3 linked regions of the Kluyveromyces lactis genome follow. The protein of the gene in region 2 purifies or fractionates together with the protein of the main gene of each other region. This does not show direct contact. Links are inferred from orthologs where the notes say so. Each region holds a gene or a part of one and is shown on either strand. Other genes may lie near its edges. The genes, in order: KGD1, LPD1 and PDB1.

Region 1 (3,762 bases), on a different chromosome or scaffold from region 2:
GGAAGTATCGAACGAAGATTGATTGAAACATCTTGAACCAAGTGATAATCAAGCAATGGTCAAGTGACAGCAAAGAATTTCTCGCGACCGAGTTGGGTTGACGAATGTCCGTACACCACATACCGTCAACCGCACTCAGCCTTTGCTTACACTTTAAAACCCATCAGCCAGTCTGGCACGGAGTTGCATAGTACTTATCTGAATATGGAATACTGAAAAGAAAATGTTGAAACGTTACCCGGAATTCCGGGCTGTCCCACAAAATGAATCTGGTAGTTTCCCGTCTTCGAATCCGAAAACGGGTCACCGGACCCCTACTCGCAGACCATGCCCTACAGCTTTTACTATCTGGCATTCTCGTATTGTTGAAAACTGAGTAAGCGGCACTAAAACACTTGTTTGTTCCACCATGTAGCAAGGAAACCTTATGCAAAAACCACATAAAGCTGCTAGAGAGCTACAGGCATTAAAGGTATCAGTACCGATTCGAAGAAAGAAAGAAAATGGGAGTGAGGATCAAAACCGGGGAAATGGCACGAGAGAGATATTGGTGGTCCATTTAATAGTTGAATGAGTGCTTTTTTTTCACACAAAATCGTGAATATATATAGTGCATCTACTATTTCCTATATAAATACTGGTTCTTACTATTTTTATAGAAGAGGTATTTATTATTTTCAAGATTCAAGAGGCCTGCCTTAATACAATTAAGATAGGAGACAGAAGGAAAATAATAACGGAGTTTATTATTTGCCTGTTAAATTAAACTCGTCTAGTAAACGCAATACTCGACTCTCTGGCACTGTTTGAGTTCTGCTTACTCTAATTTAGTTTTTTTGTTGGTATTTCTGTTTTTTATCGGCTAAAAAGTATAAAAGATACAGGATTTATACATTAATTTCACTGCTTATTTAAGTGAAAGAGAACGGGAAATTAAAAAAATCGGGGGTATTTTTTCAAGATCTTCCGACAAGAAAAAAAAGATTGAAGAAGCTTTATTTCAACTTCGTGTTCGCAAGTAGGATATCTCTTTTTTTCAATTAATTAGGAACGTTAACAAAAACAGTCAATTTTGAATCGAAGTTTTTGCCTGTTGTCGTCTTAGTTTCTGACTCTACTACTATCAAGTACTTCTTCTTTTGTTCCCTTTTTTTGTGAGTAATTTTGGATTGAAAATTCACAAAGAAGAGCCATAAAAAAATAAAAACAAAAGAAGATATAAACGAGAAAGATTCATTGAAAGTTAATCATCGTTGAAAAGTTCAACATTTTGTGAATTGCAAGGGATTTTTTTACTTGATAACTGGATATATCAATTTTACAACACACGTACAGAACAAAGCGACCATCTATTGATTTAAGGTTTGTGTTTTGCTTCTTTCGTTATACAGAAAAGAACAAAAAATAACTGTCTTTTGAACAATGTTGAGAACTATAAGGTCATCTCAGCGTTTGTTACATGCTTCTAAATTCACCAGGATCGGTGCTGTAAGCAAACCGACTTCCTTGGCTGTTTTCAGTCGTGGATTGGCTAGTGGTGCATCTTCGACGGACAACTTCCTGTCCACCACCAATGCATCATATATCGATGAGATGTACGAAGCTTGGCAAAAGGATCCCACTTCAGTTCATGTCTCTTGGGATGCTTATTTCAAGAACATGGGTAATCTGAATATTCCAGCCTCTTCTGCCTTCACCGCCCCACCAACATTAATTCCAATACCAACGGGTCCTGGTGTGCCTCAAGATATATTGATAGGGGGTTCGTTAAGTGGCGTTGACCAAGACATCACAACACATTTAAAAGTGCAACTTTTGTGCCGTGCTTACCAAGTAAGAGGTCACCAGAAGGCTCATATTGATCCGTTACAAATTTCATTTGGTGATGATAAGAGTAAACCTCTACCTCGTGAGTTGACTTTGGAACACTATGGATTCACAGAAAAGGATCTAGATAGAGATATCACATTGGGACCCGGTATCTTGCCACGTTTCTCTCGTGATGGTAGAAAGACCATGAAACTAAGAGAAATTATTGCTGCTTTGGAAAAATTGTACTGTTCTGGATACGGTATCGAATACATTCATATCCCTTCAAAAGAACAATGTGAATGGTTAAGAGAAAGAATTGAAATCCCACAACCTTATAATTATACCGTAGACCAAAAGAGACAAATTTTGGATAGACTGACTTGGGCTACTTCTTTTGAAACTTTCTTATCTACTAAATTCCCTAACGATAAGAGATTCGGTTTGGAAGGTTTAGAAGGTGTTGTTCCTGGTATCAAGACCTTGATTGACCGTTCCGTTGAATTAGGTGTTGAAGATGTTGTCTTGGGTATGGCTCATCGTGGTAGATTAAACGTTTTGTCTAATGTGGTGCGTAAACCAAACGAATCCATCTTCTCAGAATTTAAGGGTTCTGTTGCTCCAGAAGAATACGAGGGTTCCGGTGATGTGAAATATCATTTGGGTATGAATTACCAAAGACCAACTACCTCTGGTAAATACGTTAACTTGTCTTTGGTTGCTAACCCATCTCATTTGGAAGCCGCTGATCCTGTTGTTTTGGGTAGAACTAGAGCCATCCAGTTCTCTAAGAACGATATTGGCAAGTATGACAAGGCCATCAGCGTCCTATTGCACGGTGATGCTGCTTTCGCTGCTCAAGGTATCGTTTACGAAACCATGGGTTTCCTACATTTGCCAGCATACTCTACTGGTGGTACCATTCACGTTATCACAAACAACCAAATCGGTTTCACTACTGATCCAAGATTCGCTAGATCAACTCTATACCCATCTGATTTGGGTAAAACCATTGATGCTCCTATCTTCCATGTAAATGCCAACGATGTTGAAGCTCTTACATTCATTTTCAACTTGGCTGCTGAATGGAGAGCTACTTTCCACACTGATGCCATTATTGACGTCGTCGGATGGAGAAAGCATGGTCATAATGAAACTGACCAACCTTCCTTCACACAACCATTAATGTACCAAAAGATTTCTAAGCAAAAATCTGTCATTGACGTTTACACGGAAAAGTTGGTATCTGAAGGTTCCTTCACCAAGCAAGATATCGATGAACATAAGAAATGGGTTTGGGGTCTATTCGAGGAAGCATATGAGAAGGCAAAGGACTATAAGCCAACTTCAAGAGAATGGTTAACTGCTGCTTGGGAAGGTTTCAAGTCTCCAAAGGCTTTAGCTACTGAAATCTTATCCCACGAACCAACCGTCGTTGATGCTGATACTTTGAAGAACATTGGTAAGACCATCTCCTCATGGCCAGAGAACTTCGAAGTTCATAAGAACTTGAAGAGAATTTTAACCAACAGAGGTAAAGCAGTTGAATCCGGTGAAGGTATTGACTGGTCTACCGGTGAAGCATTAGCTTTCGGTTCCTTAGTGTTGGAAGGTAATCACGTCAGAGTTTCTGGTGAAGATGTTGAAAGAGGTACCTTTTCACAAAGACATGCTGTTCTTCACGACCAAAAATCCGAGAATACTTACACTCCATTAAAGCACTTGTCTGAAAAACAAGCTAACTTCACCATCTGTAATTCTTCGTTGTCTGAATACGGTTGTATGGGTTTCGAGTATGGTTACTCTTTGACTAACCCAGATTATTTCGTTGTTTGGGAAGCTCAATTCGGTGATTTCGCCAACACTGCTCAAGTCATCATCGATCAATTCATTGCCGCTGGTGAAGTGAAATGGAAGCAAAGATCCGGGTTAGTCTTGTCCTTGCCTCACGGT
Region 2 (3,439 bases):
AAATCATGTTTACACGGAGTGGTGATGGTTCACTCAAAACTCTTGTTAATAAGAAATTAGGGCGTGTGGCGTAGTTGGTAGCGCGCTCCCTTAGCATGGGAGAGGTCTTCGGTTCGACTCCGGACTCGTCCAATCTTTTTATTTCCCCTGTTCATTCTGGACCAATGATCTCTTTTTTTGATATAACGATGTGGTGCCTATTACACACAAGCTGAGAATGTTCTGAGAATTCGTTTACAAACATTTCATATCATTTACGTTAAATATATTATACGTGTTTACTATTTATTTTTGATAATCTTTACTTTTCAATGTATAGTTTGAAATCAAAGAATGATTCGAGGAATATATAAGAAGAAAGATGCTTCAGATGGCGAGATAAATAAAAAAAAAAATAGACGACAACTGGATACGACGTACCATTGTTAAGTAGCTTATTATAGTTATTGATATCAAGCAGCTTCAATTATCCGCAATTTTTTTTTTCCACTTCGCTTTATCAAGAAAAATTAGAAGTTGATTGGCTTGGCGTAAGCAGCTAAGTTAGCTTCCTTGAAAGCTTCGGATAGAGTTGGATGAGCGTGACAAACTCTAGCGATGTCTTCAGCAGAAGCACCGTATTCCAATGCTAAACCGGCTTCAGCGATCATTTCACCAGCGTTAGGACCAATGATGTGAGCACCTAGTAAACGTTCAGATTCTGCGTCGATCAAAATCTTAACGAAACCTTCGGTGTCCATGTTGGTTTTAGCTCTAGAGTTAGCGATGAATGGGAACTTTCCAATCTTGTATTGAATACCAGCTTCCTTTAATTGTTCTTCGGTCTTACCGACCCAAGCGACTTCTGGGTGGGAGTACATGACAGCCGGGATGTTACCGTAGTTGACATGACCGTGGCCGACCTTGAAGTATTCGGCAGCAGCGATACCTTCTTCTTCAGCCTTGTGAGCCAACATTGGACCGAAGGTAACATCACCGATAACCTTGACGTGTGGGAATTTGGTGGATAATTGTTCATCAATGACCAATCTACCACGCTTGTCGACTTCCAAACCGATCTTTTCAGCGTTCAAACCAGCGACGTATGGTCTTCTGCCGACAGCGACCAACAAGACATCAGCTTGGAGAGATTCCTTCTTACCATTCTTGGCACCTTCGACTTCGATGTCAACGACGTCACCGTTTCTGGAGGCAGACAAGACCTTGGTGCTCAACTTAAAGTCGAGACCTTGTTTCTTCAAAATCTTTTGAGTAGTTTGAGCGACTTCACCATCCATGGTAGCACCAATTTGAGGTTGGAATTCGATCACAGTGACCTTAGAACCCAATCTGGAGTAAACTGAACCCATTTCTAAACCGATGATACCACCACCGATGATAGCCAATTTCTTTGGGATTTCTTTCAAGGAAAGAGCACCAGTAGAAGAAACGATTCTTTCCTCATCAATGGTGATACCTGGGAATGGAGTCACTTCAGAACCAGTGGCAACAATAATCCTGTCACTTTCCAAGAGGTGATCTTCAGTAACGGAACCTTCCAGACCTTCCACAGGAAGAACCTTAACGGATTTGTCAGTTTCAAAGGCACCTAAACCTTTGTAGTAAGTGACACCATTCTTCTTGAACAACATTTCAATACCACCAGTCAATTGCTTGACGACAGTGTCCTTAGCCTTTTGAAATTGAGCAACGTTAATGTTGATTTCACCGTTGATATCAATACCTCTTTGCTTAGCATCCGTCTTCATTTGATGGTATAGGTGAGAATTGTTCAACAAAGCCTTGGATGGGATACAACCAACGTTTAAACAAGTACCACCTAGTCTACCTCTTTTCTCAACACAAGCAACATCGTAACCGAGTTGAGCAGCCTTGATAGCAGCAACGTAACCACCTGGACCACCACCAATAACGACCAAGTCGTGCTTCTTAGTAACGGTTTTCAAAAGAGCAGAAGAGCTAAAGGAACGGGTAGAATTGAATCTCAACATCTTTGATTAGGGCGGATATAAATAAACAAGATAAATAAGATAATCCTCTAACCTCTTACTTATACGTTATCTGAACCCTTTCTCTGTGGTTTCACTTGATATATTTCTTGAAATATAAAATATCCTAGTGAATTCCTTTTATATTAATGTCAATTGGAATGGAAAAAAAAGATTACGATCCCAAATAAATACAACTATTAGACGGTTTGATCAATTAAATAGCAAGAAAATTGATCTACAGGACTCAAATACCAGCATGATGCGGTAGGGTTTGGTGATTCACTACGGTACGGACCATATATAAACTACAATTATATAATTGAACGGATTGTAATTCGAAAAAATACTGTAGTATTCCAGAGAAGACCACTTATTTAACTGATCTATATTTCATCGTTCCTTTGCGCAACTTTTAAGTTGAAGAACCAGTTTTTTTTTTATCAATCTATTGAGCTTTCCAAACTGCCAGAGTCATTACTATTAATTATCGAAATGGGATAACACAGTGAACAGAAGTATCTTTGTGAAAAGCTGTTTCGCTGGTGTGATCTATAAAGGCGACGGCTCATCACAAAAAAGTTGCAACTGTCTTGACGTGGGGAACAGGGAAACCTTCGGAATCGACAAAAATTGAAACTATTGAATGAAATCAGTTGAAAAATAACGAAACGAACCTAAAAAAACGGAAGCCGTACGGGGGCCGACACGAAAGGCGCAGGGCGGGCTATCAAGAACGTGATTAACACGTGATTCAAACCGGGTAACGTTTATTAATTTATGATCACGTTGTTTTTTTTTGATTACCAGTTTTTCCTTCTGCCAAATACTCACTATGAGATATGATATCCATATAAAAGAATAATGAATCATGATATATGAAGGATAAGGGAGATTGTTAGCAAGAACAAAGAATAGAGTAGCAACAGTAATAACAAAGCATTAGCCGCAGATATGAGATTTGCACCTATTTTTATTGGAACGGCGTTGGCCAGTTCGTGTATGTTTAAGGACGGATTTTCTTAACCCTTTTTTTTCCCTTTAATTCTCAACTTTACTAACATCATCATCGTCATCGTCAAATACAGTATCTTCACTTATGGTTATATATCCTGACAGCTTCCAATACTACAATGATTTAGTGAATGTGGCACATGAACTTGATGGGACTATAACGCATGAATATACATTATTCAATGGGTTTAGTTTGGATTTGCCAGAAGAGTTTGTCGCTAAATTCAAGGAAATGAACCAACATTTTAATTGGGGGCTTGAAATAGAAGAAGACCAGGAGGTTCATGCGTTAGGTGGGCTGAAAGAACATGCTGTTTGATTGCATTATGGACTGAATCAACGTTGTGTCGGTCTTTACTATTATTTTCTATGTAGATTTTATACGCAAACATATATTACTCGGTTTAAGGATATTTTTTCAATTCTATCAAGCACTT
Region 3 (2,571 bases), on a different chromosome or scaffold from region 2:
CCTCCATCAATCTCATCTGCTATGTCGTATTCTCCCGTCGCCAAAACAGGTTTTTTCAGCAGATTTGTGATGGCGCACTTACTATGCGCTAGCATATCTATGAGATAAATACAACGGTATAGCAACCCGCGAATCGCTCGACCCGTACAGTCGAAACGAATAAAAAAAAGCTTATGCAGCGCATATATATTCCTTTAAAGGATTTTGATTTCACCAATATATAAAGAAATATAAGAGGGTCATTTCAGCACCAGGGAAGTTGTTAGTTCTTTAGAGTCGTTATTCCTTTATTCATTGTATTATCTTCTGTTTTGTGTTTCATTTTTTATACTTTATGGATCTGTAATTCAATACTTGTTTAATCTTACTTTATAATTTCTTAAAGGTTTTATAAATCTTACTACAGATTCTCATCCAATCCCACTCAATTAGCGGTTCCCTGAGGCTAACGTCTATTTGTTGAATAGGTCAAAGAACGAGTTTTTATTTTTTTTCAGTGAAAAAATAATATCAAATTCAAGAAATTATAAAAAAGAATTCAGTTGAAAAGGATCCTTTTTAGTTATAGAATTGACAATTGACTATCTAATTTGTCTGTCTTATAACAAACGCATCTCAACAACTTCTGTCTGTTTGTTTATTGCTTCGTTTTTGTTTTCGAATTATCAAAACATTATTTCTTCTACCTTTAAAAGAAAAAGAAAAACGAAAAGATATCAAACTCTAGTATAATATTCATTCTCCTTTGGTTCAGTAAACGTTTTACAAGCGAAGACAATTTTAAAGGTTAAGAAGAATTACACGTAGTGAAACGAAACGTTAGTACCCGATTGATAAAAACTTTCAACTGGCAAAATTATTAAATACTAATACAACATGATGATGCTTTCTAACACTTTTAAGAGGGCTGTTCCTTCTGTGGTTCAATCCATGAGATTTGCTTCTACCAAGACCATGACCGTCAGAGAAGCTTTGAATTCTGCCATGGCCGAAGAAATGGACCGTGATGATGATGTTTTCATCATTGGTGAAGAAGTTGCTCAATATAATGGTGCTTACAAGGTTACCAAGGGTTTATTGGACCGTTTCGGTGAAAGAAGAGTTGTTGACACTCCAATTACCGAAATGGGTTTCACTGGTTTGGCTGTTGGTGCCGCTTTGAAGGGTTTAAAGCCAATTGTTGAATTCATGTCTTTCAACTTCTCCATGCAAGCTATGGATCAAGTCATTAACTCCGCTGCTAAGACTTACTATATGTCCGGTGGTACTCAGAAATGTCAAATCGTTTTCAGAGGTCCAAACGGTTCTGCTGTCGGTGTTGCTGCTCAACATTCCCAAGATTATTCTGCTTGGTACGGTTCTGTTCCAGGTATGAAGGTTTTGGTTCCATACTCTGCTGAAGATGCTAGAGGTTTGTTGAAGGCTGCCATTCGTGATCCAAACCCAGTTGTTTTCTTGGAAAACGAATTGTTATACGGTCAATCTTTCGAAGTCTCTGAAGAATCTCTGTCTACTGATTTCACTTTGCCATACAAAGCAAAGGTTGAAAGAGAAGGTTCTGATATCTCTATCATCAGTTACACCAGAAATGTTCAATTCTCTTTGGAAGCTGCTGAAATTTTGTCTAAGCAATACGGTGTTTCTGCTGAAGTTATCAATTTGAGAGCCATTAGACCTTTGGATGTTGAAGCTATCATCAACACTGTCAAGAAGACCAACCACTTGATTACTGTTGAATCTACTTTCCCAGCTTTCGGTGTTGGTGCTGAAATTATCGCTCAAATTATGGAATCTGAAGCCTTCGATTATTTGGATGCTCCAATTCAAAGAGTTACTGGTGCTGAAGTCCCAACTCCTTATGCTAAGGAATTAGAAGATTTTGCTTTCCCAGACCCTGACACCATTGTCAGAGCTGCTAAAAGTGTTTTGTCTATTGAATGATTGCACCGTGCACTCTTTCTTTACTGACAGTTATGCACCTCTGTTGGCCTCCGTTTTTTATCAAAACAAAAGAGAATATTCATTGGATAAGGAATAGTGCATGATGGTTCATTCGCATTCGGTTTTTCTTATGATTGTACTCCTTTGTTGCAATAAACTAAGTTATGAATTGATTTACAAACTTCAAAGAAAAATAGAAAAATTAAAACATATTATATTATTAAGATATGAATACCAAGTTCAGTTAATACACGATTTTGGATTAGGAAATAGAATGAGATAGAGTTGCCTGTCGTTGAATTATTCGCTGGTAAAGGTAAGTTGATGAATTAGAGATTTTACAATTTTTTTTCATGTATGTTGCCCATCAGTAATGATGAAGAAAAGTTTTCATCACTAGAGATGGGAACAATAAGGTATTTGGGGACAACTGCGGTTGTTATGAGATTAAACTGTATATATATATTCTGCCGTTAAAACAAGACGCTGTGCGCTACTTTCTGTACAACTTGTCGTTATTTCCATCAAGGTATTGTCTTTTACACTTTCTAAGCTGAAATGGCTTTAGCGATGTAGGATACATTAGAGGGTTTAAGACTGGACCAGGAGAGAGGTTCATAACACTTAAAT

Evidence for each region.
Region 1: the proteins of LPD1 (region 2) and KGD1 purify together in Saccharomyces cerevisiae (affinity purification with mass spectrometry; 5 studies listed by BioGRID, with this or other methods). This does not show direct contact. The link is inferred for Kluyveromyces lactis from reciprocal best matches to the Saccharomyces cerevisiae genes LPD1 and KGD1.
Region 3: the proteins of LPD1 (region 2) and PDB1 purify together in Saccharomyces cerevisiae (affinity purification with mass spectrometry; 4 studies listed by BioGRID, with this or other methods). This does not show direct contact. The link is inferred for Kluyveromyces lactis from reciprocal best matches to the Saccharomyces cerevisiae genes LPD1 and PDB1.

What each region holds. Positions count from the first base shown.
Region 1 is NC_006042.1:430,446-434,207, reverse strand, and holds the start of KGD1 (alpha-ketoglutarate dehydrogenase KGD1), read left to right. Parts: upstream 1-1,422; coding exon 1,423-3,762. UniProt on the Saccharomyces cerevisiae protein: The 2-oxoglutarate dehydrogenase complex catalyzes the overall conversion of 2-oxoglutarate to succinyl-CoA and CO(2).
Region 2 is NC_006040.1:950,601-954,039, reverse strand, and holds LPD1 (dihydrolipoyl dehydrogenase), read right to left. Parts: upstream 1,992-3,439; coding exon 510-1,991; downstream 1-509. Other genes in the region: KLLA0_D11143g (uncharacterized protein), read left to right, coding at 2,943-2,988, 3,077-3,321.
Region 3 is NC_006042.1:882,148-884,718, reverse strand, and holds PDB1 (pyruvate dehydrogenase (acetyl-transferring) subunit E1 beta), read left to right. Parts: upstream 1-876; coding exon 877-1,941; downstream 1,942-2,571. UniProt on the Saccharomyces cerevisiae protein: The pyruvate dehydrogenase complex catalyzes the overall conversion of pyruvate to acetyl-CoA and CO(2).